Xenopus tropicalis: one gene and its partners. The protein of the gene in region 2 interacts with the protein of the main gene of each other region in a pairwise test. Links are inferred from orthologs where the notes say so. Each region holds a gene or a part of one and is shown on either strand. Other genes may lie near its edges. The genes, in order: exd3, dazap2, tnip3, smap2, hip1, plekhb2 and rnf208.

The links.
Region 1: the proteins of dazap2 (region 2) and exd3 interact in binary tests that used the Homo sapiens proteins (3 or more experiments, as listed by UniProt). The two-hybrid records come from large-scale screens. The link is inferred for Xenopus tropicalis from reciprocal best matches to the Homo sapiens genes DAZAP2 and EXD3.
Region 3: the proteins of dazap2 (region 2) and tnip3 interact in binary tests that used the Homo sapiens proteins (3 or more experiments, as listed by UniProt). The two-hybrid records come from large-scale screens. The link is inferred for Xenopus tropicalis from reciprocal best matches to the Homo sapiens genes DAZAP2 and TNIP3.
Region 4: the proteins of dazap2 (region 2) and smap2 interact in binary tests that used the Homo sapiens proteins (3 or more experiments, as listed by UniProt). The two-hybrid records come from large-scale screens. The link is inferred for Xenopus tropicalis from reciprocal best matches to the Homo sapiens genes DAZAP2 and SMAP2.
Region 5: the proteins of dazap2 (region 2) and hip1 interact in binary tests that used the Homo sapiens proteins (3 or more experiments, as listed by UniProt). The two-hybrid records come from large-scale screens. The link is inferred for Xenopus tropicalis from reciprocal best matches to the Homo sapiens genes DAZAP2 and HIP1.
Region 6: the proteins of dazap2 (region 2) and plekhb2 interact in binary tests that used the Homo sapiens proteins (3 or more experiments, as listed by UniProt). The two-hybrid records come from large-scale screens. The link is inferred for Xenopus tropicalis from reciprocal best matches to the Homo sapiens genes DAZAP2 and PLEKHB2.
Region 7: the proteins of dazap2 (region 2) and rnf208 interact in binary tests that used the Homo sapiens proteins (3 or more experiments, as listed by UniProt). The two-hybrid records come from large-scale screens. The link is inferred for Xenopus tropicalis from reciprocal best matches to the Homo sapiens genes DAZAP2 and RNF208.

Annotation. Positions count from the first base shown.
Region 1 is NC_030684.2:2,932,621-2,936,712, reverse strand, and holds part of exd3 (exonuclease mut-7 homolog), read left to right. Parts: intron 1-931; 5' UTR 932-969; coding exon 970-991; intron 992-1,426; coding exon 1,427-1,491; intron 1,492-2,405; coding exon 2,406-2,579; intron 2,580-2,876; coding exon 2,877-3,038; intron 3,039-3,948; coding exon 3,949-4,002; intron 4,003-4,092. UniProt on the Homo sapiens protein: Possesses 3'-5' exoribonuclease activity. Required for 3'-end trimming of AGO1-bound miRNAs.
Region 2 is NC_030678.2:142,300,420-142,305,118, forward strand, and holds the start of dazap2 (DAZ-associated protein 2), read left to right. Parts: upstream 1-1,625; 5' UTR 1,626-1,662; coding exon 1,663-1,675; intron 1,676-4,699. UniProt on the Homo sapiens protein: In unstressed cells, promotes SIAH1-mediated polyubiquitination and degradation of the serine/threonine-protein kinase HIPK2, probably by acting as a loading factor that potentiates complex formation between HIPK2 and ubiquitin ligase SIAH1.
Region 3 is NC_030677.2:71,470,194-71,474,285, reverse strand, and holds part of tnip3 (TNFAIP3-interacting protein 3), read left to right. Parts: intron 1-878; coding exon 879-1,007; intron 1,008-4,092. UniProt on the Homo sapiens protein: Binds to zinc finger protein TNFAIP3 and inhibits NF-kappa-B activation induced by tumor necrosis factor, Toll-like receptor 4 (TLR4), interleukin-1 and 12-O-tetradecanoylphorbol-13-acetate.
Region 4 is NC_030678.2:87,996,516-88,001,379, reverse strand, and holds the start of smap2 (stromal membrane-associated protein 2), read left to right. Parts: upstream 1-1,563; 5' UTR 1,564-1,656; coding exon 1,657-1,759; intron 1,760-4,864.
Region 5 is NC_030678.2:48,793,433-48,798,188, forward strand, and holds the start of hip1 (huntingtin-interacting protein 1), read left to right. Parts: upstream 1-1,588; 5' UTR 1,589-1,758; exon of another isoform or gene 1,759-1,770; intron 1,771-1,793; exon of another isoform or gene 1,794-2,139; intron 2,140-2,162; exon of another isoform or gene 2,163-2,533; intron 2,534-2,693; 5' UTR 2,694-2,821; coding exon 2,822-2,839; intron 2,840-4,756. UniProt on the Homo sapiens protein: Plays a role in clathrin-mediated endocytosis and trafficking. Involved in regulating AMPA receptor trafficking in the central nervous system in an NMDA-dependent manner. Regulates presynaptic nerve terminal activity.
Region 6 is NC_030681.2:126,782,203-126,786,791, reverse strand, and holds the start of plekhb2 (pleckstrin homology domain-containing family B member 2), read left to right. Parts: upstream 1-1,605; 5' UTR 1,606-1,664; coding exon of another isoform or gene 1,665-1,731; intron 1,732-4,589. UniProt on the Homo sapiens protein: Involved in retrograde transport of recycling endosomes.
Region 7 is NC_030684.2:1,807,681-1,811,555, reverse strand, and holds rnf208 (RING finger protein 208), read left to right. Parts: upstream 1-1,607; 5' UTR 1,608-1,628; coding exon 1,629-2,429; 3' UTR 2,430-2,988; downstream 2,989-3,875.

The DNA of each region.
Region 1 (4,092 bases), on a different chromosome or scaffold from region 2:
CTCACTGGGGCAGGGACTGATGGGAATGGGATAGGGACCTTAGATTGTAAGCTCACTGGGGCAGGGGCTGATGGGAATGGGATAGGGGCATTAGAGTGTAAGCTCACTGGGGCAGGGGCTGATGGGAGTGGGATAGGGACATTAGATTGTAAGCTCACTGGGGCAGGGGCTGATGGGAGTGGGATAGGGACATTAGAGTGAAAGCTCACTGGGGCAGGGGCTGATGGGAATGGGATAGGGGCATTAGAGTGTAAGCTCACTGGGGCAGGGGCTGATGGGAGTGGGATAGGGACATTAGATTGTAAGCTCACTGGGGCAGGGGCTGATGGGAGTGGGATAGGGACCTTAGAGTGTAAGCTCACTGGGGCAGGGACTGATGGGAGTGGGATAGGGACATTAGAGTGTAAGCTCACTGGGGCAGGGACTGATGGGAATGGGATAGGGACCTTAGATTGTAAGCTCACTGGGGCAGGGACTGATGGGAATGTGATAGGGACCTTAGATTGTAAGCTCACTGGGGCAGGGGCTGATGGGAATGGGATAGGGACCTTAGATTGTAAGCTCACTGGGGCAGGGACTGATGGGAATGTGATAGGGATCTTAGATTGTAAGCTCACTGGGGCAGGGGCTGATGGGAATGGGATAGGGACCTTAGAGTGTAAGCTCACTGGGGCAGGGACTGATGGGAATGGGATAGGGGCCGTAGAGTGTAAGCTCACTGGGGCAGGGGCTGATGGGAATGGGATAGGGACATTAGATTGTAAGCTCACTGGGGCAGGGGCTGATGGGAATGGGATAGGGACATTAGAGTGTAAGCTCACTGGGGCAGGGACTGATGGGAATGGGATAGGGACATTAGAGTGTAAGCTCACTGTACCGCAGGGGGAATATGTGGGCGCTATATAATAATAATGATTATGTGCTGTTTCAGTACCGGCATTGGGTCGGAGGCCCCATCGGATCTGAGAGATGTCAGACATGAACCATACAGGTGAGTGAATGGGATTCTGGTACTGGGGGGGCGGGGTCACTCGGTAATCCTGGGATTCTATTGGCTCCTCAGATATGCACTGAGCAAGGTCTATAGGGCAGGAAAAATCAAAAACTGGGTAAAATATAATTTTTCCCCCCCCCCTGAACCCGCCCCCCCCCCCCCCCCGACCCGCCCCGGGGCTAAAGATCATCCCTTCTAATGTTCCGTCTCTGGGCCGGTCACATTCCGAGAGCTGGAGGTCAGCGAGGGAATCCCAGCATCCCCCTGGGGGCGCCCCCCAGCCCCTTTCGCTTCTCCTGTTATTTCCCACAGTGCCAGGAAGGAAGGTGCATGCTGGGGGACTCGCACAGCGGCGGCCATCTTTGCGCAGGTACATTCTGCCCTTACCTACAAAGGCATTTACTTACGTGGTTTGTGATTGGTCCCTTGCAGAGCAAGATCACTCCGAGATCCTAAGCTCCCTGCAGAGCCTTTGGGCCAAGAAAGATGTTTTACAGGTGAGATCTACTGTCCCCCCCCCCCCAGGAAGGGAGAGGTGCACCTTTTAATTAACCGTTACTATGCTGTAGCTATTGATATTCTAAGACAATTTGCAATTGGTCTTCATTTTTTATATTTTATGGTTTTTCAGTTATTTAGTTTTTTTTTGTTCCTCAACTTGGTATTTCAGCAGCAACCTGGTTGCTAGGGTCTTATATACCTTAGCAACCAGGCAGGGTTTTGATTGAGAAACTGCAAAATTAACCATTAATATGCTGTAGATATTGATATTCCAAAACAATTTGCAATTGGTCTTCATTTTTTATATCTTGTGGTATTTAGTTTTTTGCTCAGCTTGGAATTTCAGTAGCAACCTGGTTGCTAGGGTCTGATATACCTTAGCAACCACGCCATGATTTGAATGAGAAACTGCAATATAAATTGGGGAGGGGCCTGAATAGAAAGATAAGGAATAAAAAGTAACAATAACAATAAAACTGGAGCCTCACAGAGCAATAGATTTTGGCTGCTGGGGTCGGTTATCCTGTTGCTAGGGCTCCAATTACCTTAGCAACCAGGGAGGGGTTTGAATGAGAGGCTGGTATATGAATAGGGGAGGGGCTGAATAGAAAGATAAGGAATAAAAAGTAACAATAACAATAAAACTGGAGCCTCACAGAGCAATAGGGTTTGATTGCCGGGGTCAGTGACCCCCATCTGAGTCAGAAGAACAAGGCAAGTAATTCAGAAATGGTGCAAAATAGTGAAGTGAAGACCAATTGCAAAGTCGCTAGGAATTGGCCAATCTATAACATATTAGAAGTTAAATGTGAACCGGCCCTTTAAGGAGATATTCAAGCCAAGACTGGGAAAGGGCAAGCCCCAGAATCTGTATATAATAATAATAATATTATCCGTTATGGTCCAACAGATCCGCCAGGTGGTTGGTCAGCTGATCTCGACGCTGGAGGAGCCGCTAGTGGCGCTGCTGGACCTGCTGGAGGTCACCAGTACCTGGAAGGGGAAAGGCAACTCGCTGGCGGTTTTAATTGCTAACGAGTTCCAGCAGTGGCTGAAGGCCAATCCGGACGCACGGCAGGTAAAGGTGGGCGTAACCAGTAAGATTGGCTCGTTTGGCAAGGTTGCCCAATCATAAATGAGCCAATGCGGCCCCTGATCCGGCCAAAACTCAAGCCTGTCCAATCAACATCTGCCCAATTTGAGGCCAGATATTGGTCAGGGGCAGGGCCTGTCGGAGGGCCCCATAAGCTAACGCTTATTATGTTATACAATGGCCTATTCTAAGCAACTTTTCAATTGGTCTTATTCATTATTTAAAGTTGCCCATGATCTGATTGGTTTATCTGTTGTTTAATCCCATTGGACGGTCTCCCCTGCGCAGTCCGGCCTGCGGCTGAGGAAGCTCCAGGGCCGCGCGCTGAGCCTGGTCTCGGAAGGGCAACTCTTGGACCTGCTGAGCGACATGTACCGGATCGCGGAGGCCGACCGAGCCTTCCTATTGGGCCAGGTCACCCACCTGCACCGCAGCGGCAAATACAAAGAGGTGATTGGCTCTTCTTTGCTGATGGCGAAATCTCCATCCCTCCAGTATAAATGATAAAACCCTTTACATATTGACCCTATAGTGTTTATTAACTCCTTCCCGCTCTGAATAGCCAGACTGCAAATCCAACATGGCCGCCACGCTAACTGCCACTTTTCCCTTTTTACTTCAGTCTCTGCCCCTTTTTGCTTTGTTTCATGAAAGAAGCAGCGGCAATCAAAGGTGGCATTGACGGGGGCCGGCTTCCAGCGGGCCGGCTAGGGTTTCACGCACGTCTTATGTTACACTCCAGGCCCTATTGAAAGAGTGTCTGTGGCTGAATAGGGCCCTCCTGCACTCCAAAAGGCAGAGTGGCGGGGGGAGAGGACAATGGCCGCTCTTGTCACCGGCCGAGGGGGGGGGGAGCCATTGTCACCCATACAGAGGGCTCGTCTGGCAGTCAGTGCACGCCTCACTGCCTCCCCGCATTCAGGGCCCTGTCAGTTCTGATTAGTTCAGGGGGCTGGCAAATTAATGGCCCCTTCACGTCTTGGGGTCCCCCCTCCTATCTAGGGTGACTGTGAACGTGTTTGGCATAAGTGAGGTTGATTGGGACCCCACGTCACATGGGATTGCCCTAGTTGGCTGTGGGGGGGGAGGCTACATTGCAAGTGTGGCCCCATCCGTAATGGCATGCTCTGGGCACAGGAAATTGGTTTCTTGGTACCTTGGCCACTAGTGGGCGCTGTTCCATTGGTATGAGCCAAGGGCAGCATTGGGGCTTCCACAAGTATAATTACTAGTCTGGGGTTCCCCGGAATAGAGAGTGGGCTCTGTGGCCCCTGTACAGAATGGCTACAGCCACAGTGTATGTCATGTGACTCTCTCTGTAAGGGCCAATAAGCTTTAACCAATCTCTCCTGTCCCGCAGGCAGCCATTATGGCCACCAGGCTGGGGCTACAGCCGGATCTGGACCTGGAAGAGGTGAGTTGGAAAGCAAATCAGTTGTGGAGCACACAATAAGCTGTACCCCCATACTGTACTGTCTAAGGGAAACACTATGGCACCCCCTAC
Region 2 (4,699 bases):
GAAGAATATCTAAGACAACAAAGATTTACCTTAAATCTCTTTGTAACTGAATTTCAATGTGACCTTTCAAGAGACCAAGTAGGCCTTCCCCTCAGCTCTAACCTGCACTTGTCTTAAAGTAGAAAAAAACCCTAACCCATTTTCAGCCATCCTTCACTGCTCCCCCTCCAAGCTCAGAGGCACCATCTTCCCCTGACTTCTGACTCCTCCTGTTAGTCAAAACTGATTCAAAAGGGAAGATGCTCTTGCAATATTGTGCCTTTACATAGTATTGAAACTCTTCAGTGACTTATAATATCCCTTTACAATAAGGGGTATTTTTTCTCAATATAAATTAAGTAGGTGAAGGTGAAAAATAATAACCTTAAAAAAATTCACAATTTTTACAGCAGGTGCTGCTCCTAGACACCTTTGTTACGTAAAAATTTTTCAGCTGGGGGAGAGAAGTCCCAGCCAATAAGGCCAGTGCATTGGGGTTATTTGCAAAGGTGATGATAAGAAGGAAACACACAGAAATTACAGGAGAGTTGTGAGTTAGGTTCTAGCACTGCATGGGCTACAGTTCCTGTCAGGTCCAATAGTAGCATAGAGTAGTGAGGGTCAGTATCTGGGTGTTAAGGGGTCAATATAATAAAAGGTGCGAAATTTGCTTTAGGTTAGTGACCCACTGCAACCAATCAGCAGATAGAATTTACTGGTCAGCTATATAAAATCAAGAATCCGACTGGTTGCTATGGGTTAATTGACCCAGATGAACTTTGCATCCTTTATTACATTACCCAATGTATACCAATTCCATTATATACTGCATGCATGTAATATTAATATATTGACTCTAGTGACTAAGGCTGATGTTCCACTGAGCGGTTTAGTCACCTGCAATAGATCTCTGCTATCGCAGGCAACTAACTGTTCCAAAATGCATTTCCACTGGCAACAATAGGAGTTGCTTGTGAAAAGCCCTTCACATGGCTTTGGTATTCCAAAGTCATACAAAGTTTCCTCCAGCAGGCATCTTTGTGTGACTTATGAAAACTGAAGCAATGCAAGCAATGGCTTTCTACCGGCGTGGCTGGTGGATAGGCATTTCGTAGAGGGCAGTCACCCGCGATAACACAGATCTATTGTGGGCGACTAAACCACTCCGTGGGACATAAGCCTTTCCCTTTACCTGAAAAGAAACGTGTCAGCCAACCAATGACATAGCACCTACGTTTACAAGAAAAATGCATTCCCCAACAATGCAATTTTTTTACAAACAGCCCATAACCTGGACAACAGGGAAAGAGCTAAATTGATATCCTAGACCAGTGTTAATACAAAATGGTAAAAATCTGTTGATACAAAAGCAAGAAAATTTTACTCATTTCCAGTAAAGCAGCTACTATGTTACCTAATGGGCTAATTATAACCATAAGTTGTACCATTCCTTGGGTCTATGAAAAGCAAAATGCGTGTTTAGGCAAGCCAAAAGCTGCAGCCTGCAATAAAGCCGCGCAAAATGAAAGTGCAGGTAGGGGGCGCTGCTCAGCAGGAATGCGCTTTCGTATCTGCGTAGAGTGAAAAAACACAACAAGGAAGTAGATAGAAGCGGAAGTGGAATCATCTCCCACAACAACACAGAGAAAATACAGATCGAGCAAGAGACGTGAACCCGGGGCAATGAATAATAAAGGCAAGTAATGGCCCCTCCGGAGCTCAGCGGCAACTTCACTGTGCTTTGCGCTTGCTAGGGCTGTTTGTCCTGATCAGGATGCACCTTGGGATTGAGACTGCGACCTGGCGGAGCTGCTGCTGCTGCAAGGCGTTATGATGTCACTGATACCAGTGATTTGGGGCCCTGCTGGGACTTACTCTATAACCGAGTCCCTCTGCTTATTATTATTAGGAAGTATATGGTTTGGGTGGGTATATTCTAGGGGCGGGCTCTATTAGTCACTGAGCGAGTGAATATATATATATAAATATTAGGAATTCGGACGTATTATAGAATACGTTTATACCTTGGTAACCAGCTCCGGCTCCGTCCTGCTTGTGTGCGCACCGCTCTGACCGTGTAAGGCAGGGATTGTGTAACTCCTTGTGTATGTGCCTCGCTAAGGAACATCGGACGTGTCATTTGCCTTCCATTCCAGCGCTTTATAAAGGATTTAGTGGCAAATGGATCACTAAGTAGGCCAGTCGGCAACTATAGTACCATAGTTACATAGGGTTGAAAAAACACCAGAGTCCATCAAGTCCAACCCATCCAAGTAAATCCAGCACTTACAACCTATATTTACCAATCTATCATCAACCATGCCAGGCTTCAGGCTGATGGTATTTGTGCATGGCACTCTTGAATTAACAAGAACTCTGCTACTGAAGAGCAGTAATCCAGTAACAAAGTACATTTGTAGTAGAGTTTAGTACTGCACTGGAAACATTGTCTAATCAGACTTGGACTGGGATTTAAACCAGGCCCTGGCTTTTTAAATACACAGAGGCCCAAACAGCCCCCCTACACAACCCCCAATAAATAGTGCCTGTCTATATCAGTGATCCCCAGAGGCTCACATACAGCATGTTGCTCCCCATCCCCTTCCCTGTTGCTTCCAGTGGCATCAAAGCAGGTGCATATTTTTGGATTGAAGTCAAATTTGGATTGCATAAAAAAACAGAGCCTCCTGTAGGTTGCCAGTCCACATAGAGACTACCAAATAGCCATAGTGCTTGTGTTGCTCCCCTACTCTTTTTATATTTGAATGTGGCTCACTTTTAAAAAAGGCTGGGGACTCCTGGTCTATGGTATCTTACAGCAGCCCCTCTGGCATTTGCCAGAATCACAGATTGTCATTGTGGAACTGTGCCCAATTTAATGCTGCTGCACACCTGTGCATGGACAAATATCAGCCACTCCATATCGCTTCACTGCTTGGGGTGTTGAGCTTCCTTCTCCTTCAGAATAGCTTCATAAATATACATTTGATAAGGTGCAAAAACAATTTGCAGTTTTAACAAAGAGGAATTCCTCGCCCATTTTAGCAGCAAAAAGAGGAGATTGCATCAAATAAATTATTATATGGATGACTTTATGAAAGAATGTCATAATACTTGTTTAACTTTTTCATTGCAGAGGGGGTTGTTCTCTAATGATTCTCAAGGTCTTCCCAATGTTTCTGCCTATTCAGAGTGACATTCTTGAGAATCTCATACTTGAGACTTGAAGTTTTACAGTGCTTTTGATTTTATTGTTCTAGTCTAGAACCAAAAATGTTCTGCCTATTTTGAACTTGTTATGGGTAAAGAATAGTATTTTGTCTTTTTATCTTTGATTATTTCTGCTGAGCAAATTAGAGTGCTACTTTGTTCATAACTTTAGGTTAAAGAATAAGTAAACCTTTTTTTTCTATCAGTAAAATTACTCTAAACAGCCTCCAGAATTACCTACCTTTGTCCCAGCATTCTTTCTGACCTGGTTCCTCAGTTAGAAGTTGATAGTTTTTCTTTGCTTCCTTGTGCAGAGTAAAGCCCCGCCCCCACTTCCTGTTCAGTTCTCTCTTCAATTCGACTACCTGTAGTTGACCTGGAGAGCCTTCTGGGCATGCCTGGAGGCAGCAGTACGCATTCACGCTGCACTTCCGCATTCCCCGGTCATCGTCGATCACAGACGGAAAAGGTCTGGTCACCCATGAGCTAGCCATATTCTTAATGAGCTGCAAGTTGGAGTGATATCACCCCCCTCCCAGCAGCTGATCAGCAGAACAATGGGAAGGGAGCAAGATAGCAGCTCCCAGTTGGTATCAGAATAGCACTCAATAGTAAGAAATCCAAGTCCGGGTTGGGCCCCCTCCAGTTACATGGGAGTATGAGAAACAATAGGTTACCTGAAAGCAGTTCTAATGCGTAGCGCTGGCTCCTTCTGAAAGCTCAGACTGAGACACTATGCACTGAGATGGCGCCTACACACCAGAATTACAACTAAAAAAAATACATGTTGATCCAAGAATAAAATTTTAAATGGCAGAGTGAATTATTTGCTAAACAGTGTAATTTAGAAATAAAAAGTACACCACAAAATCTTTAAGCATGAAGTCTAGCATTCTTTAATGATGGCCTCTGAGTGACTGACCTGAAAAGTTCAAATAGTTACTCAGAGGCCAGAATATCATTGAAGGATTTTGGTAACCTTGGTAGGTAAGCAATACAACACAAACATATGCAGACTATAAAGACTATTGGATTCTCTGTGTTTCCTTTAGGCTGATTAAATATTGTTTTCCATCATCTCCCAAATCCCAAGTCAAATTGATTAGATGAGTCTGATTATAAGCCAAATTGAATTTTAATTGGTATATTAATATTTATCTCCAGTTTTCCCAAATTTTGCAGTTGTCAAAATTTCTGTTTGTGTGAAAACTAATTTTTTTCTGTTATGCAATCTTGTGATAATTATGATATTAATATAAATCTTTGAAACAAACCATGGAATTCAGACAAATATCTAAGCAACTTTACTTTCCTCACAACCCTAGATTAGCTGCATTTTTATGGGAACTGAAGATGATCTAAATTTTTAAAACCAGGGTCATATAGGTGGAGTTTGGCAGCTTTTGGGTTCAGCTGCCATATTGACTTCTTTAAAGCACATAGGCAGCTTATTGGCAGTAGTGTTAATGTATGTGTTACCTACAATTGTAAGCTCCATTGGGGAAGGAAC
Region 3 (4,092 bases), on a different chromosome or scaffold from region 2:
GCAGACTGTGGGCCATAAAAATAAAACAATGAACGTATATGTAGTAGGTGGACTGCTAAAATACCCACCGAAACAAAGTTTGTAATGAAGTGAATCCTGACTCATAGGAATTTCTACAGAACCACAAAATATACACTTGACTTGGAATCAAAACCAAATTACAACTAGCTAATACAGATATGGATCACCCTTTCAGATTCCCTCAATATTATTACTTGATCATGGCTATGTCGAGTTACTTTTTTTTTTTTTTGTCCAGTTATTATTATGATTGGAAAAACATGCTATAGTTTCCAAATCTTACTTCCTACACATTTGTTTTGAAAATAGGATATATACACACTTTGCACCTTTACGATTTGGGCCCCTTGCCCATAACCTCACAAAATAAAGAGCTGAACTTTCCCTGGCATGCCCTACTTTGCACATCAATGAGGGTACAAGAAACAGAGAATGTCAGACACAAAGGCAGGCGTTAAGGGCCACACTCCCTTGTGCTTATGTGAACTGCAAAAGGAAAAAAACCCAGTTTGAACTTCTCTTGAATCCTTTTTTCCTTGTTTAATAAATGGTTTGTGAAACATATTGGTGTAGATTGTACTTTATCCTCTTGCTTGGTTTCAATCATAAGAGTGGGTACAGCCATAAGGTTCATTACCAAACAGTCAATTCATATTTGCTAATCCTTGACAGCACATCATCTCTCAGAAAGTTGGTTTAGTACATAGATACTTTAAACTCTATATACAGATCAATACATATTATTCTATGATGTTTCCAAAAGAAAAATCTTGCCTTGAAATATTGCCAACCAATAGCTTACTTTTAAAATGAAGCATGCAGATGTATCATATTCAATAAGTGCACTTTTGTTCTAGAAAGAGGGAGAAACTCTTAATGTGGAGCTGCTTAACATGAAAGAAGAAAATCACTGGCTGAGGAAACAAAATGCTTTGTACAGCAGGAAAAAGGAGCAATATAAGCATGAAATTAACCGCCTTAATCAGGTGACTAATAACTTTACATTACAGCACAGAACTGTCTTCAGGGTTTATTGATAATACTGTAACATACAGTAAAACGGACAGGGAATAGGACTGGATTAATATAAAAAAGGAATGCCAATGCAGTTGATTTAGATGAGCACAAGGAAGGAGAGTGACAGAAGTAGATAACAACAGAAAGGGAGCAAGAACGTGCTAAGGGAGATGAGCAAAGTAAAGGTTTGTAAAGGTAATTCAGAAGTAAAGGAAGGATAGAGAGGTGTAACCGAGTAGAAAATATAAGGAACAGCCTAAATATCAGTCTTTAGTTGTCATTTACTTACAGTGTGAAAAGTGCAATTTCAGACGCATCTCCATGTTTTTTTCCCCATAATCCCAATGTAATTGCAGTTGCCAGAGGGAGTTGCGCCTGCTAGAAATGCAGCTGACACAGTTGTACCTCTTTGACACAAATCAGTCACAATGGCACTGAAAGTTAGTGTCATTTCCAGCATATGGCATGAGAGCGATTTGTGCTCTGCTCCGTGTTATTTCAGCGCAACAGAAGTGCAAGGAGCACATGTTGACGCAAGAGCCTTTAATCAATAGGATTTTTCATGTGCCCAATTTAGTAACTCCAAAACTGTACTTGCAGTCATAAATGACCCCTTGTATTTGTTAGCCCAGCAGTCCGGTAGGGTACATCTTCTGTTTGTATGCTTTATTATTTAGTAAGGTTTAACTGATGTACTGTGAGTGCCCTGTTTTTTGCATTATATATATAATAAATATACAGGTATGGGACCTGTTATCCAGAATGCCTTGGGACCTTGGCTTTTCCAGATAAGGGGTCTTTCCATAATTTAGATCACCATACTTTGAGTCTGTTAAAAATCATTTAATTATTAAACTCAATAGGACTGTTTTGCCTTCCATAAGGATTAATCGGATCTTAGTTGGAATCAAGTATGTATATTGCCTGGGTGCAGGGTAATCAAGTGTACAATATAAGAAACTCAGGACTCAGCACTCACAGGGCTTTAAGAAAATAGCAAAAGGTCCCAAACATGTGGCTGAAATGTTGATTTTGCACATTAAAGAATATTTTTGCTATTTTTGTAAAACCCTGTGAGTGCTGAGTCCTGTATATGTATGTTTATTGTTAAGATCGGTAGACAAACCGACTAGGGACTTGAACCCAGCAGTATCTGTCTGACAGGGCAACTTTCATAAGAGACAGAAAAATAAACCTGTTAAACAATTAACTTGTGGGGAGCTCTGTAATAGGAATATAATACTGCATATATAATAAGAAGAATTACAAATACAAAAGAATAGTAGTATTTGTGTCCTTTTACCCCGTTAGGAAGCAGGAAGGAGAGATGGGTTTTTGCGAGTCCAATAAAGCACCTTTTGTTCAAGATGAGTTCTGTAGCTTTAATAAGAGTAAAACATGAACATTTCCAGCTCTTTTCAGATGCTTATACAATGAAAATACCTAATGTGCACCAATCAGTTTCTGTGAATGTATTTCCGTAGTGCACAACACACAATTTGACCAACGCACATGCATTTTGTAAAGTTATAGAGAAGTCACTGAAAATGCTGCCAAGCAAAATGTATCAGTAAACCACAAAGACTTCCTCAGGAAACACGTTGCTCTTGCACTAGGCAGCAATCCATACCCAGCCTAAAATGACATATAATCAGAAGAAATGGAAACATTTAGTCTTCTCTTCATGTCATCTTTGAAAAACAACAGAGAAACCGCGCTCACAGGATTTTACATACTGAAATAACAACATCATTTTTTAAATTGCATAATACATTTATTTCATTGTTGTTTTCATTTTCAGCGTAAATGCCTGTAAGGGAGGTTTAGGCGGCAGTCATATATTACTGGCATGCATTCCCTGGCTGCCTCTGTTTATAAATGAATATGAATAAGTCTATGTATAGAAATATAACTGAAATGCTTGGGACCTGGGGTTTTCAGGATACGGCATCTAAACATAGCTTGGGCACTCACCCACAAGGCTTCTAGAAATCATTTAAATATTAAAAAAATAGAATTTCTGGATTTATGCTAGCTTAGTTACCATCATGTACAAGTGACTAACTATTACAGAGAAGGTAAATGTGGAAAAAATTAAGACATGCTTGTTTAAACAGGACTCTATGGGATATGGCAGTGCCATATATTGCAATTTTCTGGATAAAGGGTTTCATTCTAGATAAGTAATAAGGGGATGGAAAATAAGTTCCATATCAGGACTGGGCCTTACAGTACAGGTATGGGATCCCTTATCAAGAAACCCATTATCCAGAAAGTTCCAAATTACGGAAAGGCCATCTCCTATAGACTCCATTATAAGCTAATAATTCTAATTTTTAAAAATGATTTCCTTTTTTTCTGTAATAATAAAACAGTACCTTGTACTTGATCCCAACTAAGATATAATTAATTCTTACTGAAGGCAAGCAAAGCTATTATTAAATATTTAAATTATTTTTAGTAGACTTACGTTATGGAGATGCAAATTACCGAAAGATTCCTTATCCGGAAAACCTCAGGTCCCGAGCATTCTGGATAACAGGTCCCATACCTGTACCAAATATAAGTCCCCATTGCTCCGTATGGGAACACAACTTTGTGCGGCGGGGCGGCCACCCCTTAATTCTTGCCGCCCTAGGCCCAGGCCTTTGTGGCCTCACCACAACTCCAGGTCTGCCTGCTTCATTTATTTATAAAGCTGTGCAAAAGAAAAGTATTTGAAAAGCCACATTTTTATAAAACTGTGTTATGTTTTTATGTCTTTAATCTAGAGTATAAAGAGGTGGAGGCTTTTTACCACTTTTGGAAATTTCATTGCTGCCTGAATTTGTTACAGTAGTTTCAGTAGGTTATGCCAGGTATAAGGTGGTGTAATATGATTGTGTGCATTATGGCATTAGTTTGGCATACATAATCACTTCTTATAAATATTGCTATTGGTTCTTTATAATAGATAATTTACACTACTGTGATGCATTGTGTTAATTCATTACAATTCCATTTAACTTGCACCAGTTCTTACACGGCTTTGTAAACGTGTCACTTGTCTTTTAT
Region 4 (4,864 bases), about 54 Mb from region 2:
GGGTCCCCAAGCGTCCTCCAGCTCACCCCAGCGGCCTCCTGCTTTCTTCCGCTCCTGTGGTGTCCTCTGCTATGTCCCGCAGCTCCCGCTACTTCTGTGCTTTTATAAGGTTGCGTCCCATGCGTGTGATGTCAGTACGCACAGGCGCAACCATATAAAAGCGCAGAAGTAGCAGGGAGCCGCGGGACAAAGCGGAGCACGCCATAAAGGGTAGGGCCCGGACTTGATTAAAGGGGGCCCGAGCTAAGGAAACTCTAGCGCGGCTGGGCCCCCTTTAAAGTTAAAAATGCCCGGGCCCGGGACGATCGTACCCCCTGTGCCCCCCTGATGGCGGCCCTGGTAGTGCCCATACACATGCCGCTTAGCTGCCAAATCGGTCTAAGGCAGGGCTCAGGAACCTTATTGGCTGAGAGAGCCATAAACACCACATATTTTAAAATGTAATTCCGTGAGAGCCATACAATGGCCAACGGGAGCTAGGCCGAAGGCCGCGGATGCTGTGGGGCAAGGTAGGGTGGGTGTCATCTTTAGCTGTTCAATATGGCTTGTAGCCCCAACAGAGACATACTGGCCACATTTTATTTTCAATTCAAGCGTGACAGGTTTCTGCTCCAATGTCCCTCTCAGTTCCCTGGGCCCTGGTTCAAGTGCAACCCGGTAAGGATGCCGGACGCGGAGGAGGGCGTGGCCTGTGCTTGGCGGATAGAAGATGTGTTCTAAGGCATAGAACATGTCTTCTATCCGCTAAGCGCAGGCCACGCTTCACGTTATTTTTTTTTATTAAAGATTTGGCAGGGAGCCAGATGCAGCCATCAAAAGAGCCACATCTGGCTCCCGAGCCGTAGGTTCCCTACCCCTGGTCTAAGGGACCAATATCGGCAGCTAGAATCGGTCCGTGTATGGGGACCTTAAGTCGCTCCGTGGGTGCTTAACCTAAATATATCACTTTTGTGATAAGCCGGGGTGTGGGCCCTTGAAGTGCCAATGTGTCACACTTATGGGCAGATTTATTATCCAGTGTAAAAATGGCAACACATTGCCAGGCTTCTCCACATAAAAAAATGGTGTAATTTTTTTGTTTTTTTTTTCCTTATAGCAACTGTCCACTAAAACTTACTTATACAAGGTCTAAATTGGTGGAAGATAACAGCATAAAATCTGGCATTCAACTGGTGTAAAATAAAACACACTTTTATATTATACAGCTTTTGACAGTTTTTGTAGCGAAAATTATTTTACACAGCATTATAAATTGGCCCCTTAACGCGCAAAAGGAATGCAAAATCCTCAAGTGCCAAAGTCGGAATTACAAAGTAGAGTGAGTTTTTGAAGAATATATTTTAGAGAAATGAGGCTATGCATCCTCTCGTAGCAAATGAGGAGTGGGAGAGGATAGGCGCGTTGTTACGAGTCATTCTCTTGTGACCTAGCCACCAGCACCCACAACCAAGAACACATTCCCTTTCACTCGCATATGAGTCAGAGCCCATTCATACCTTTTCCTCCGGGGGCGTGACTAGCTGTAGCCGCTCGATTGGTTTAAACTACAGGACAGCGTGACGTACTTCTAAACATGGGTAGGAGGCGGAGACCAGGAAACAGGAAGTGAAAGTGAGGAGCCGCACCGAAGAGGCCATCTTACTGTCTCCCGGGAACATGACCGGGAAGTCGGTTCGTGATGTGGAGCGGTACCAGGCAGTGCTCTCCGAGCTTCTTTTGCGAGAGGAGAACAAGTTTTGCGCTGACTGTCTGGCTAAAGGTAACCGGCTACCCGTTTATAGTAGTGACCTTTAGCGATGGAACTCCCTATCCCTTCCCTATCAGATGTGCCAACCGGCTTTTGTCGTGAGGAGATGATTTCCCCTTTTGTTAAACGTATGATTATATTTCTGTTCATAAATCTGCATTGATGTCAAGCGTTGTCAACCCCAGTGTTATCATCTTCAATGGCCAGGTGCTAAAAAATCTATGGGCAGATTCGTATGACTTAGAACTGTCTCCTGGTCAGTATTAGGCTGGCACATTCTAAGCATTAGTTCCCAAAGCAGTTTAGCTGTTGGTAACCAAATTGTACTGAACAAGCTCTGATGTGATCATTTGGCAGCTTCTGTATACCTGGATCAGGCAGGTAGCCCATTCATCCATTCTGGTGATTACAATTTACACTTGCCTGTAGGACTGAACGAATGGGAACTACACGAATTTGAGCAGATTCCCAACACAATTTGTTTTGTTCAGATCAGACATGTAAATGTTGTTTTGTCAAAAAATTGACCCGCATTTTGTGCCATTATAGTTTCCGGTATAATTTTATTAATATTCAGATCGTACCATTGTATCCGGTAGCTCTTTACAGGTAAGGGCTTACAGCTACTAGGCACTACAAATACAACAATGTACAAATAGATGTGAGGCGTGGTTGTATTGGAAGATTACCCCAATGTTTGTGTGAAAATCTTTGTAGTTCTAAAGCTAACCTTACGTCTTCTGTGCAGTTCATGTTTTATTTCTTTGCAACACAGATGGAACAGTAAATGGGTAGTAAATAGGACCTTCTGTGCTGCTGATTGATGTAAACATGCATACACACACCTATGTAACCTATGCAGATCCTACTAATGTGGCAAGGCTTGAAATGCTTATAGTGTGGAAACCTATGCTTGGATTGTGATTAACATTTCTTGTTGTTCATCTCCTAATAGATAATGGCTCTATACTGTTGCAGTCATATTAAGAAAGTTTATTGCATTATAAGGTGCTAATTTAAGTGACTGTGAAAAAGGTTTTTATTTGCCTTATCTACTTATGGACTAGGGGACACAATTTGGCCTATAAATATCATATTTTGATCCACTGTTTACTTATCAACTCGGTATGCAAAGTTGTAACCCATCATGTTGGATGCCAGAGGGAAAGGTAGGTTATAGCTACCTATAATTGTATATAAATACCTGTTATGTGTACACAAATCAGGTGTTTTGTGTTGACAGTGTACACATACAGTGTGCATTATGCATTAGTGTAAGGTCATCTTTAACCAGAGCAAACAGTAATAGCTGTTTTTATTCAACAGTACAGAATAAGGGTCAGTAGAGCAGAGATTCTTCAGTTATTTTGTTTGTCATTTTGTGTATTTGCTGCTTCCATTTTTTGATTATAACAGTAAGATATTTTTAGATATTGTTAGAGCAGATATTGTGGTGATATGTATTTCTAGCATATTTTGCTTTCAAAATTCCTGGAATAGTTGCTGGTCCGTATTCCTTACCCTTTCATTGACATAGATTAGAAATGAGGAAGTAATTTAACCTGATGCGTATTTAATTGCGCCATACGATAGTTTTCTCCTACTGCTTTGAAATTAATTAGTTATATATTTAGCTGTTTCAAAGTCACAGTATTAAGCAGCCATAGAAACTGTTACTGTGCTGTTGCATATAAACTCTTAAGCTGTTACTGGGGCCCTGAAATGCTTTTCCATAAAATTAAAACTCTTGTTTTATGCATTCTTTTACATTTATCAGAACGGTTTCTTCTGTTGACACAGGCTATTATGTCGCTAAGGGCATGGGTTCCCCATCTGTGGGGCTGGCTATTCTGCAGGAAGGAGGGTAAAGTTTGGGGTGATTGCTCATGCTCTAGATATGCTAAATCTTTTTGAAATCATTCCTTATCCATAGGTGAATAAACTTGTATGTATCAGTCCTTCTCTATCCACAATGACTGTAGTGAGAAGTTAGTGCAAATAGATTTCACACTTTGTGTGTCTTTTTAATAGGCAGAATAAACTTTCAGCACAAACTTCTCTAATGGGTTAACGTTGAACACATATCAAATTATAGGTTAACATTATAATATATATTAAAACTTACCTATAGAGACGAAACATCTACCATCATAACATTTATTACTATGCTTATTATGTTTCTACATTTGTGGTACAGGTATGGGACCCGTTATCCAGAATGCTCGGGACCGAGGGTATTCCGGATAAGGGGTCTTTCTGTAATTTGGATCTCCATACCTTAAGTCTACTAAACAATCAATAAAACATTAATTAAACCCAATAGGATTGTTTTACATCCAATAAGGATTATCTATATTTTATTTGGGATCAAGTACAAGGTACTGTTTTGTTACTACAGAGAAAAAGAAAATCAGTTTTAAAATTCTGAATTATTAGATTAAAATGGAGTCTATGGGAGACGGGCTTTCTGTAATTCTGAGCTTTCTGGATAACTGGTTTCCGGATAAGGGATCCCATACCTGTATTACTTTTCTAAGGGCTATGCAAAGTAGACTTGAAGAAAGTTTAAAATACAAAATTGTATCCTTAGTGGCACACCATATAAGCTGTACGGGTATGGGATCCATTATCCAGAATGCTTGGGACCTGGGGCTTTTCGTAATTCGGATCTCATACCTAAAGTCTGCTTAAACATTATATAAACAGCAATTACACCCAATAGGATTGTTTTGCCTCCAATAAAGATTAATTTTATCTTAGTTGGGATCAAGTACAATGTTCTTTTTTATTATTACAGAGAAAAAGGAAATCACTTTTAAAAATGTGAATTATTTGATTTAAATGGAGTCTATTGTAGATGACCTTTCGGTAATTTGGTAATTAGAGTTTCCGGATAAGGGGTCCGATACCTGTACTGCAATTGAGGCATTGGAAACTATTTTAGCCTAATACAGAACAGTGCATGTAATCACTGGAGTTTATTATAGCCAGGCGAGAAACTATAAGTCATTTATAGCGGTCATTTACAAAGTGAGAGGCAGAGTGCAAACCAGCATTATTTGTTTTGCATATTGCACCCTGCCTTTCTTGCTGGTTGAATTGACACAGATCTCTGGG
Region 5 (4,756 bases), about 94 Mb from region 2:
TGCCCCCTTCCCCATTTAAAGTATGAAACATACCAAATATGTATAGTTAACAAATGAACAGTTTATTGATGTACCAAATGTAATACTACACAATGGTGACGAAATTGTTATACAACTATCATTTTCAATAAAAAAGTTAAAAAAAAAAAAAAAAAAAAAAAAAAAGAAAGGGAGTATTTTGTTTCAGAATATAAGCTGCTAGTAAATAAACTAGTAGTTCCTGCTACATATTAATAGTGCCAGATATTATTTATGTAGCAGACCAGTTGTAAACAAGTGACTACCACATTAATATAGCCCCCTCTAGCAACAGTCTTTGCATCTCTCCTCTATTCACAAGCCTCTGCCCTCGCTCTACCTCAGTTAAACTCTGAGTACATCTTTTTAGTTCATCAGCATTTGAGCTCTCTGCCCCAAATACAGCATATGTCCAACCCAACCCCCCATAATTTACATAATTCTATCCAGTTTGTCAACAGCTGACTTCTCTGTGGACAAAAGTTTAGTATCTCCTGTTACTAATTACATCAGTCTCTCTATCTTTCTCTATCAAAAGAAACCATATGCAAAAAAACTAAAAGTCTCAAATATTCTGGGAATAAAGCAATGGGAAAAAAACAAGTGATATTTTAGCTAAAATCTGCTACTGCACCCTCTCATTCACATAAATAAGTGAATCAGAGGTGACAATGGCACTTTCTAGCTGTGTAACTGCAATGTGGCACAATCTCCATAAAAGATAATGCTAAGCAACACTGTTAGACTAGGTCAGAGGAGGGATGATTTGGAAAATGAAGAAACTTAATAAATGTCAAATCAAATGATTAAAAACCTTTGGAAATGCAACAAATGTGCTCTGTACATCACTTGACTTGGGGGGAAGTGCTAATATTTGTCCAAGGGCTGGATTTATTGATGACTATAGATATAGAAACAATGCCTATGGATTTTTGGAGAGTATTTATTGCTAGTTTAGATTTTAATGCACACTCCATGAAGAGGCAAAAAATGCAGCCAATGTATGGCAGGTTGAGAAAATCTAAATTTGAAGTAATTTAAATAGTATAAAGAAAACAATCAGTGAAAAATAATCATTCACTCTTCTTTAAACAACGTTTGAGTAATAAAGTCTTAATATGGAATATTGTGGAAGACATTGTTAACGGCTATTAACACCGCAGTAAGATAAAACCCACTCAAATATTCTGTCCAAGTAGTGTTTATCCAGAGTCCTCACAAGGTCAGGGCTCACATCAGTAACAGTGTGTTTACTGCGCCCAGCATTTTTGTGTTCTAACCTCTCAGAGACAGTAACATTTCCCTGTTTTATCCTATAATTGCCAATGCTTTAAAGAAAATCTTCAGCTTCCCTCTTGCACCCCTAGCAAACATTGCCAGCTGTCCGCTACATATTCCCGCGCCTGCGAATGGAGCATCCCTCAGCCAATCAGAGTGCGCTTGGGCACAGCTTCGAGCCTATTGGCTGCTGTTGCAGAGCTTCTGATGCCTCAGCAGCGTGAATGGAGGAGGCGGAACAGACAGTAACAGGCACCAGAGGATGGGGGGGTGGGAGGTACAGAAAGCTGCAGAAGCTCACTGAGGGAAAATACATTGATTGATGGAGAAAGGGGAGGGGTGGGAAGCTGCAGAAGTTAGGGACTGAGGGCAAATTTACGCTCTTAATTTAATAGTAAAGAAATTCCAGCCGGATACTTGTTTTTGAAAAGAAGGGAAAAGCTGGATCTTCGCAGACGTCTGGTAACCCTAAATGTACTGTGCTCTTTCCCTGCCTCTCCATCCCTGCCCTGCCTATTGTGCAAGTAGTGTTATTGCATGCTGGCTAGTGCGCTTCGCTCCCTCTGTGGGAGTGTGCTGCTGCTTGTGCCCAGTAGTGCTGAGTGTGTCCTGCATCGCTCCCTGTGCCCTATACACTCACACCGTCCCCTCCCTCTCCCCTGGCTTATCTGGGTGACTGCTGCTGCTCCCTGTGCCATCTGTCCGTGTCTTGTTGCTGGATGCTTTTGTGTGGCTGGCCCTGGGCTCTGTCCGCACCAATCTGTGCCCACCCCCACTTTCCATCACTGCCTTTCCGCCTGCCCATTGCATTGGCATTCTCTGGATTTGGGATAAACACAGCCAGTGAGTACCCTGCTCTCTCTGGAAATCTCTAACATTCTCTGTATACCCCTTCACTTCATAACTATCCCTTTGCCTGTATGCCTAAATCTGCCTGCCCACTTCTGTCTACCCCAACACCCTTCTCTGGTCTGTCTTTTTAGCCTGCCTGCCATCTTCTGTCTATACCAGCCAGCCTGCCTTGGTCCATCTGTCCAACGTGCCTGTCAACTTCTGCCTGTATCAACCAGTCTGTCTAGGTCTGTCTGTCCTTCCTGCCTGCCCACTTCTGTCTATGTCAACCAGCCTGTCCTAACCCGCCAATCCAAATCTGTTTGCACAACCTGCCCACCCAAATATGCCTGTTCTAACCAGCCCATCCAACTCTGTCCTCTTTTTGCTCAGCCTGCCTGCTCAGGTTTGTGCTGCCTTCATGCCATAGACTTCCAGACTGGGTTTTTTTCAAGCCTGTCCTATTAGTTTATAACTCTCCCTAGCCTTTTGCTACAGCTTAGTTTGCAAGTTGTTCCTAATTCACATTATGCCTCTTCTTTGTGTTTTTATTGTACCTCACACAGGGTCACCATGTTGCTTCAATCACCTTGTTAACCAATCATTACTATTTCGGGCACTTAAGTCTGCAGCAACAGGCAATCTGTCAGCCTGAGGGGTTTCTTACCAACTTCCAAGGGAATTTTCAGAAATCATGGATGCTGGGAAAATGGTGAGTGTGACCCAAAACTTACTCCATGATACCTCTTAACATTCACCCTTATAGACTGGCAAAGCTAGTGTGCTACCATAAGACCTACTTATAATTGGAGCCATTTTATATACGTATATATCAGTTAATGGGTCAGTTAATTGGTCTAGTCATGTCTTTTACGCAGCTTTGTTAAATGTAACTTTGCATAATGGTTGACAATAACAAAGATAAACGTGTACACTGATCACTGATCATATGATACATATATATATGTATTTAAAAATATACATTATTGTTTGATTGGCTGCAGAGGACCTTACAAAAAAACTGGTCCTCTTGGATCTGTTTATGTAGCAACAAGAAATATAATATAGCTTTTCTGTTTGTGGCTTCATTTTAAAGGTGTTATAATGTTCTAATATAAGAGTAACATCACTTGAAGTGAAGCATGTTGCGTTTCAGTAGCATACATATTTCAGGGTACAGCAAATATTTGCCTACTAACTTGTGGTTCTCTAGAATTTGTGGACTACAACTTTCAGCATCCCACCATGTGGGTTACAGGTTGCATATTACTACTCTCCCTTTTATCTGCCTGGGCTAGTTCTATTTTTCTACGATTAGGCTATATATATGTTGAATTAGTAAATGAATGTATTAAATTTAACATTGTTTAATTATATACTCTATATAAGCATGGCCATCTTTACTGAATCATTGATGTATATACTTTGTGTGTTTAATGTATCCCTCATTCTATTGTAAAGTAATGCAGAATATATTGGCCCTTTATAAAACATAATAATAATAAATTGTATTCGAAAATTGTATTCAGTCACCTAGTCTGTTTTACTGGTGGGCTGATTTACAATAAATTTAGGATCCAGCCATGCTGTCATAGCACACAAGACTGCTGTATGTACTAAAACCTGGGAGGGGTACTAACCTGAAACAAGGAATAGAAACAAGGAATCGGGACTTTATATTTTACTGACTTCTGGTTATTTTCATCCTTGCAGTATTTGTCAGGTTTGATAATTTTGCTGAACACATTTCTAAAATGATGCATTAAATTCAAACATAATACAATGGTATCTTCAAGGATATATACTTGGTTATTCATGTACCAAGTAGAATCATTAATTTCTCTAATGACGTACTGTGGCAGGGACTGATGTAAATGATGCATAAACTCCGTAAAGTGCTGTTTAGTATGTTGGTGCTTTAAAAATAAATAATAATAGTAAATTCATCCTGGACGTGGCTAAAGTATTAGGAGGAATATGGCAATGCAATGGTATCCAAAACTGCGAAACATTTTCTGCATTCATAATTTGCTAGTACAGGAAAGGATCCCGTATCCAGAAGCCCATTATCTATCTCCCATAGACTTTCTCCTATTTTAGTCCAGTCCATTTTAAAGGGGATCTGTCACCTCAGAAATATTTCCAAATGTATTTCTACCATGTTAGTTGAGCAAAATAAACTTCACTTACACTATATAAAATTTAAAAATCTTGTTTCCTTTAGTCTTGTAATTACACTATTATAACAAGCAGGCAGGCACCATTTTGTGGATACTGTTATTATGACAAGCTTTGCATCATGCCAAAATCTGGTTTATTTGATACAATGGAGGACCAGAGGCCCATACTCATACACTGCCTACAGTGTGAGGAGGGAGGGGGAAAGTGAGAATTGCAGTGACATCTAGGAAAGTTAAAGTTATTGTCTGCTCCGCCTCTATGCCAAAGGCATAGAGGCGGGGAAGGCAATACATGATTGACAGCTGGGATTTTTAAATGCCTTTATAATGGGTATGGATGTGTTAATAAAAAAAGGAATTTGGTTTTCATGTTTAATTTGAAATAGACTTTTATTATACAGATTTTTATGTCTGGGTGACAGGTCCCCTTTAAAGGACAATGAAAGGTT
Region 6 (4,589 bases), on a different chromosome or scaffold from region 2:
GAAGTTGTTACATCTGTACATTTGTAACATCAATGTTTTACTCCCTCCTCTCCTGCTAGGGTTTTAAATGATGCAGAAAGAGAAGAACTGTTTTGTAGCTGTATTCCAGCATATAAAAATGGTATTTACTCATACTTTTTGACGTAACAGATTACAGTGATAGGTATACATGGTTTGTTGCACTCGGGTCCTTATAGGCCTATGTCAGGTGGTTTGGACACTTTTATAACAGAATCATTTGTTAGTAATGGATGAGCTTTTGTTTTACGTGCTATTTCCAGCTAATATGCAACTGAACAGATGTAGCGAGATATATGAAGGGCTGGAAGTTAAAAGAAGGGTTTGTATCGGCATGGAGGTGACACACAGGCAAACGGAATTCCTGTGGCAGATAGAAAGATGCAGCTTGCACCAATTTGTTGTCTCTGGTGCAGGTCTTATGTTGACACTGTGCCAACCATGCCATTATTTACAGTAAAGGTTACACTGCTGTGAGCCCCAGCTAGGACCTACAAAAGAGCACTAAGACTTTGGGCTTAGTGTGACAGGGCAGAACATCCATGTAGCCCTTAGGGCAGCCTTTTTATCGCAGGGAACCCAAAATAATTAGTAGAATCAGCTTTTCAACTGCAAACTTACAAACAATATCATTTAATTGCTACTTTCTATTGTGAGAAGAAACTTCACATTATCCAGCGGGACCATGGAGACCTATTTTTGCGTCCTGCTCCATCAAATAAGGATCCCATATATATCTATTTACATATATAGCTGACATTCGTAATAGGTAGGGAGAAGACACACGGGGTGATTAGTTGCGACAACTTGTATACTAGTGTTAGTTGTGGCAACTGATCACCCCATGTATCTTCGCCCTATGAGTACACCCCCATATTTAGGGTTGGCACCTTTTTCTATCTGGCCTTTGGGTTGGGGGTGGGGTTGTGACTTCATTTTGGGGCAGGGCTATGATGTAAGGGGTGGGTGGTGGGTAAATGGGCTGGCTGGGTGGAGGGAAAAGTGGATGGGGCCCAGAAATTGGTGGGGTAATAGGCGGGGCAGAGGGGTGACCTGTGGTTATAAAGGGTGATTAGCAGCAGAGAGGGTCAGCGAAGGGAGGAATTTATAGGGCATTATACAAGTGTAAATAAATTTGAAATACCAGTGCTGGCCCTACCGGGTGATTTACCGGCCACGCAAGTCAGATACCAGCCAGGTGGCAACCCTACCCATATTGCTTGTGTAAGTTTACTTACCTGCGCATCAGTGCATTAGTCCCTTGTAAGAACCCTTAGGTTAGTCTCTTTATTTGAACACTATATTAGTCATCATTAACTAAAGGTAGTCCATTTAACTCCAGCACAACTCTGCCTATGCTATAGAAGCAAGACCTAACTAAAATTTCCTGATGTCTATTCCAATTACCTTGCAAAAATAAATAAATGAATAAACTCTTCTAAGACAATCATGTCAGTATTCAGCAGATCAGCATTATTCCCATGGGTGGCAACAGCATTAAGTAAACTCAGGGCTTGTTCTCATCCAGAAACAAACATATCCATATTATCTGTGGCTTCGTTATCCCACTGCCTTTCTACCTGCTCCTTCTGTTCCGCATTAATAACACATCATACCTCATAGTCTGCAAACATATTCACTGCAGCATGAACAGCAAACTCGCAGCCGAGGAGCCTCATCTTCCCCATCATGAGAAAGAGAAAGAGAGGAAGGGTACGAGTGCTTGCATTTATATCTATATGTATGTTTTTTTGCTATAGTTGTTATCTATGTATTCTGTGCACAAGGAAAATAGTTTATGACAATTAGAAACCACGTTCCAAATGTAAATAAGCCCTTTTCTTTTCTGCTTCTTACAACTTTTGTGTAGTGTCCATTTAGCTTGTTCCAATAAAGTGTGTACATGTTCAAACTGTAGTCAGAAATGACAAAAATTTGTGTAATGCATCAAAGTCAATGGGCTTTTTTTTTTGCAGCTACAGTGTACTGCACAGCTTTTTTTTGCAGCCATTGCAGTCTACGGGTGATCTTTCGTAACAAAACCTGGTTAAAATTTTCGCTCATCACTTGTTCAAAGTACAGGGCAGAATGGCACAAGGGGACTCTGTAATGCCAGGCTTCCTTTAGCAGTTTGTGCCAACGTAACAACTGACTTCTGTACAGTCAATCACACACTAATGGTATTATGGATTATGTGCATTAGAATTTTGTCATTTAGATTTTTATTGATTTTATGGAACAGAAAAAAGGAAATCAACAAATCAGCAATATAGAATGTTATTTTTCATCATAAACATGGTGTGAGCTTGTGAGCTTGTTGTGCTGTTGTTTTGCCATCTCCTTGGGTATTTTTATTGGGTGGTGCATTAGAATTTACACCATTTACACCAGCACTGCTGAGCCCACTAGTGTATGCTTTTTAACTTGTTTCCGCCACATGAAGTTACAATTCTGCTGGGAAACACAGCATTGTGGGTATAAACATGGTGATTTGCGTCCGATTACACATTGAGCACATAAGGCTACTGTAGTAAATGAACCCTCTAGTTTAACCTTATATATTTTTGCAGATGTTTACTCTAACAGTAATAATAATAATAATAATAATAATAATAAAACAACATCGGCATATGTTGTTTTTTGTGGTTTGGTGTAATTGGCCAGTTTTGTCAGGGTAAGTTGTGTTGTTTTCTGTAAGTGTGCAGTAGCACTTTACATTGAGTTCATAGGTTGCAACAAGCACTCTCCCCCCAGTTAGCACATTTGCCAATTGTGATTGGCTGATACAATGTTGAAATGTACCACAGCCTCAGAACATCACTCTCAACAACATACTAAAAGTTAATTTAAAGGTGAACTATCCGTTTAATAATGATTGAAGTCCCTCTTTGTTTAATTTATGAAATATAACTCAAATGGACTGAGGCTGTATGACGAGAAGGACTCGTTTAGTTGTGGCATTGGATGCATTACATTAATACACAATATATTCCCTAAGGAGTTCCTTTAATTTACATTTTGTTTTTCACTGGGAATCACCTGCTTCTGGGGGAAAATATAGCTCATTAAGCAATGATTACACAAGCGGAACTGCCTGCAAAGTTGTGATTCAGTGTAAAAGTGCCATTGCTTGCCCTGTTTGTTTCTTAAAGTGCGTAGCAACATAGGCCCTTGGGCTTTCTGTAGCACAGGAACTCTACTAGTGCCTGGATGTGTGCTGTGCTATCCTATAGTTCAACAGAACCCTTACATACTGCTATACTGTGCCTTACACTTATATAGGGAAGCATGGTGTGTACTCTCAAGGTACAGGAACATGGTGGTTTTCAGTGCCTTTGCCATACTGTGTAGTTTCTATGCATTCTATAGCAACAAACAATGCTTATTCTGACTCAACTCATGTTTCCCTGCAGGTTTGTACCAACAAACACCAATACTGAACACTTTAACTATAGGTTTCTTTCAGTTTTTATTGCACTACTGACATTGCATGACAAATACATTTCTAACTATCACATGCTTGAATCCTTAGTGTCACAGCCTTAGATAATATTAATGTTGAAATGGCCTTTAAAAAGAGGGAATAGGAAAAATACAGGTATGGGGATCTGTTATCCAGAAACACGTTATCCAGAAAGCTCCGAATTACGGGACAGCCATCACCCTTAATTAAATAATTGAAACTTTGAAAAAATTATTTTAATTTTCGCTGTACATGTATGGGATCTGTAATCCAGAATCCCATTATCCAGAAAGGATACAGGAAGGCCATCTCTCATAGACTCAATTTTAATCAAATAATTCTAATTTTTTCAAAATGATTCCCTTTTCTCTGAAATAATAAAACAGTACATTGCACTTTGTCTAAATACATAGTTAATCCTTACTGGGGACAAAACAATCCCATTGAGTTTATTTAATTTTTACATTATTTATTAGTAGACTTAAGGTATGGAAATCCAAATTATGGAAATACCTCTCTTTTGGAAAACACCAGTACCCAGAATTCTGGATAACAGGTCCCATAATTGTTATAAAGCAATACCTTGCATTCTGGATAACAGGTCCCATAACTGTAATAATAAAATGGTACCTTGCATTCTGGATAACAAGTCCCTTACCTGTATTAGTAGCACACTGCAGTACAGGTATAGGATCCATTATCTGGAAACCCATTTTCAAGAAAGCTCAGAATAACGGGAAGGCCATCTCCCATAGACTTAAAAAGGCATTTTCTCTGTAATAATAAACAGAACATTGTACATTAGCCTAGCTAAGATATATTTAATACTTACTGGAGGCAAACAGTCCTGTTGGGTTTAATTAATGTAAATGTTCCATACGTGTATAACCAGCAGGGCTAACAATATGAATTGTGTATCTAAGCACAATAAAAGTTACGATCCAATATTCTGGGAATTGAAATTCTTGCACTACTGTGTTTAAACATTGGAAAACCCAGAGCTTAAACAACAATCTCATTCATTCTTCTGGGATTTCTGTAAACACTGGGGAATAGCAGACTTTGCTGTTATGGCAATAATAGTGTAGCCTCTGAAGATGAGTAAAGA
Region 7 (3,875 bases), on a different chromosome or scaffold from region 2:
ATGTAGAGGTGCGTGTATGTGGGGGGGCTTTATGTAGAGGTGCGTGTATGTGGGGGGGGCAGTGGGGGCTGTATGTAGAACAATAGAACTGCAGGGATCAGCCATGTTTCTTTGTTGGGTCGTCACTTTGCCTCCCAATTCCCCTTCATTCCCCATTCACCCATGGCCGGGGGGGTGGCAGTGCCCATAGAATGCCCAGCCTGCCAGCCTGTACTCATTATGTAGGGAAGAACAGCACCGACCCATGGGGTTTTACTCTCCCTCCTTACTGTGCTCTGAGAGATCCCTCTATGGCTGGGGGGGTCCTTATGTTTCCCACTAGTGGGTCCAATACCCACACAGAATGGGGGGCAGGGGGGGCACTTGGGAAGAGAAGAATGTGTGATATGATGAGCTGCCCGCCCCGGACTCTACACCAGGCAAAGTACTGGGGCACTACCAGGAACCGATCCACTAGGAACCTTCTAGTCATTTCATTATTACCATAGACAGCCTTGGCCATTAGCTTGCAGTCTAATGAGACACTGTGCGGTCTCACTCTCAGAGCTGCTCACCTGTCTCTCTTCTGTCCTACAGGTAACGACTCCTACCAGGGAAGCAAATCTGTGCTGAACGGACCAGTGGGAGCCACCAAGTAGCCAAGACAAGGCCTTCAGGACTATAATTGGTCCTTCACACCTTCCTTGGGATCTAGCAAGCCCATTGGGTCGCCATCCTTGGGTTTAAGCAAGTCCATTGTGACTAAAGTTGGTCTTCATCCTTGGGTTCTTGCAAGGACATTGGGACTACAATTGGTCTTCATCTTTGGGTTCTAGCAAGGCCATTGGGACTACAGTTGGTCTTCATCCTTGGGTTCTAAGAAGGCCATTGGGACTACAGTTGGTCTTCATCCTTGGGTTCTAAGAAGGCCATTGGGACTACAGTTGGTCTTCATCCTTGGGTTCTAGCAGGGCCATTGGGACTACAGTTGGTCTTCATCCTTGGGTTCTAGCAGGGCCATTGGGACTACAGTTGGTCGTCATCCTTGGGTTCTAGCAGGGTCATTGGGACTACAGTTGGTCTTCATGCTTGGGTTCTAGTAAGGCCATTGGGATTACAGTTGGCTTCTTCAGTAGACCTAACTCCTAGCCTTGGACTGCTCTGCAGGATGCTCAGATAATGTGGTTCCCAATGAGCCGGTCCCTCATCCCTCAGAACTTAGTGGACCTGCCAGTTGGAGAGAGAGTGAAGTGTCAGCACAGGGGACTTCCCGGCCTCCCATGTAAAGAGGAATAGCACTTGGGGAGGTGCATTTGCCCTCGGGGTGGGGTCTTTACTTTCCTCAGCGCAACTGTTGCTTTGTGAGATGTCTGCATCGGTTCCCCCTTCGCTCCAGAACCTCCAGGCCCAGAGACCTTTCCATCATCTCTCCGAGAGCACTTGGACCCGGGAATAATTCCATTCATTCGCATATTGACAATTGGAGGGGATGTCACGCAGGAACTGACCCCCCAGTGGGACCCGATTGGCCCGTAGAAGTGGTCATGGTCATCTGCACCAGGTTCTCTCGCTCTGCTGGTTCCTCCTCGATCCCAGCGGTGCCGGTGCCGGATTTCTAGGTGTTGGGGGGGCATCACAACTCCAGCCACATGCAGGGGGCGCTGGGAGAAAACAAAGTTGCGGACAGTAATGTGAAAAAGATCCTTATGTCTTGTCTGAAGGGGCAACAGGTCATCATCAAGATGGAGGCCATGAAGATCATCCAGGCCGAGAAGTTCTCCGAGTGCCAGAACTCTCAGCCTCGGTACGGCCCCCCGTCTCGGAGGGAACCCCCGCTGGTTGCCAAGCGGGCCTGGCCCTCGGACTCGGAGATCATCGTCAACCAGGCCTGCGGGGACATGCCCGCCCTGGAACCCGCCCCCAACGCCTTGGGGCTTCCGACCAGGACACCGCCGCCTCCGCGGAGGGAGAAGATCTACCCGGGGCAACGGAAGCCGAGCGCCGAGATCTGTTACCACCGTAAGACCCCTTCGGATGAAGTCATCGTCAACCAGTACGTGCTGCACCCCTCCACCCCCTGCGAGCCCCTGGAATGCCCCACCTGCGGGCACATGTACAACTTCACCAACAAGCGCCCCCGGATCCTGTCCTGCCTCCATTCCGTGTGCGAGGAGTGCCTCCAGATCCTCTACGAGTCCTGCCCCAAGTACAAGTTCATCTCCTGCCCCACCTGCAAGCGGGAGACCGTGCTCTTCACTGACTATGGCCTGGCCGCCCTGGCGGTCAACACCAGCATCCTCAACCGGCTGCCGACCGAGGCCCTGTCGGCCAATCAGGTGCAGTGGAGCAGCGACACCGACCGCAGTTGCTACCAGACCTTCCGCCAGTACTGCGGGGCGGCCTGTACCTGCCACATCCGGAACCCGCTGTCTTCCTGCACCATCATGTAGCCTGGTACTGCTGGCCGGGCCCCTGGGGAACTGGATATTTATATATATATATAAGTGGGGCGCCCAATCCCGACTCTGCAGTTCCATATCATAGCGATGGCCCAGTTGGGTTCTACTTGCATCTCGGTGTGTGGGTTCTCCATCTCTCTGTGGCTCCTCCCACCCCCAATCTGGTTGGACCGGCATCGCCAGCGCAGAGACCAAGCACAACGGAACCACCAGCTGGCACCAACGCCCCCCCAGGGGCCCAACCAGAAGGGAACCCGTCACTCTCTGCCCAAATAGTTTCTTTTGCCAAAGCTTTGTTCTGATTCGCTGACTGAAATGCACAGAAATGATATATTTTAACTTATTGCCGGAAAGGGCCACTTGGGCTTCCAGCTGCCGGAGGGACCCCCGGGGGCCGTTGCTGAGCGACGCATCTGGGGCCCCTCGGGCAGAGGAAGGGTTATTGGGTACCAAATGGCGCATTGTGTGTATGGGGGGCGGGATTGTGGGGGTGCCATCCGGCCCAGGTGATTGTGCCCCTGTCAGTTACATAAACGGCTCCAACACAGAACCGACCCGGTCTATTATTTGCTCCAAACTTTCATGTAGCCCCCAGCTGATAATAATAAGGATACAGCCCCCCCGCAGTGTTGTACCCGGAGCTTTCTCCCCCAGTCCTATCACAGTCCCTGGGAATGCTGTGCTATTGGGATTTGGCCTCTGTCGGTACTGGGAACGTGTGTCTGTGATTGGCTGCAGTACCGGGTCCCACCACTTCCAGCCCAGAGCCAATGGGCCCCATAGAGCCACACGTTACAGCGCCCCCCATTGCTATGATTATTAGCTTATGTGAGGGAATTCTGGGTACACAGTCCCGGGTGTAACCCCCCCCCCATGGAACCACTGGTGGTATATTCCAAGGGCCACTGCCCCCCCCCCCCCCCCCCCCCCCCCCCCCCGTGACCATGAACCGCAACCCAGCCAATGGCCTGAAGGACAGAAAAGTACATAGGGACATGGGTCCCATTACACTGCCGCCTCCCATAAGTGGGGGAATATAAAATAAAGCCCCCAGGGCAATTAGAGGGGGGCTTGTGTGTGGGGGGGGAACCACCTTTCATTTCTTTCTCACATATGTGGGTGCTGCTGGGTGACCCCAGGGACCTATAGAAGAGCTGGGGGGGGGTGAGTGGGTGCTGCCGCTGCCACAATGGTTTCCATCTGACAGTGCAGCCGCTTCAGTCACTTCCTGCCCGACTCGCACAATACCGAGCGCTCAGGAAGCTGCTGCGGGGGCCACACTCTGTCACCCCCACCCTTTCCTGCGCACAAACTGCACCCACACACATTCCCTTATATAGATCTACAGCCCCGTCTGTCCTTATGTACTCAGTCTATTTGCCCCAGGCCCCGCCCACTTACCCAGCATTCTGTCTGTATGTGTCACATGGTATAACT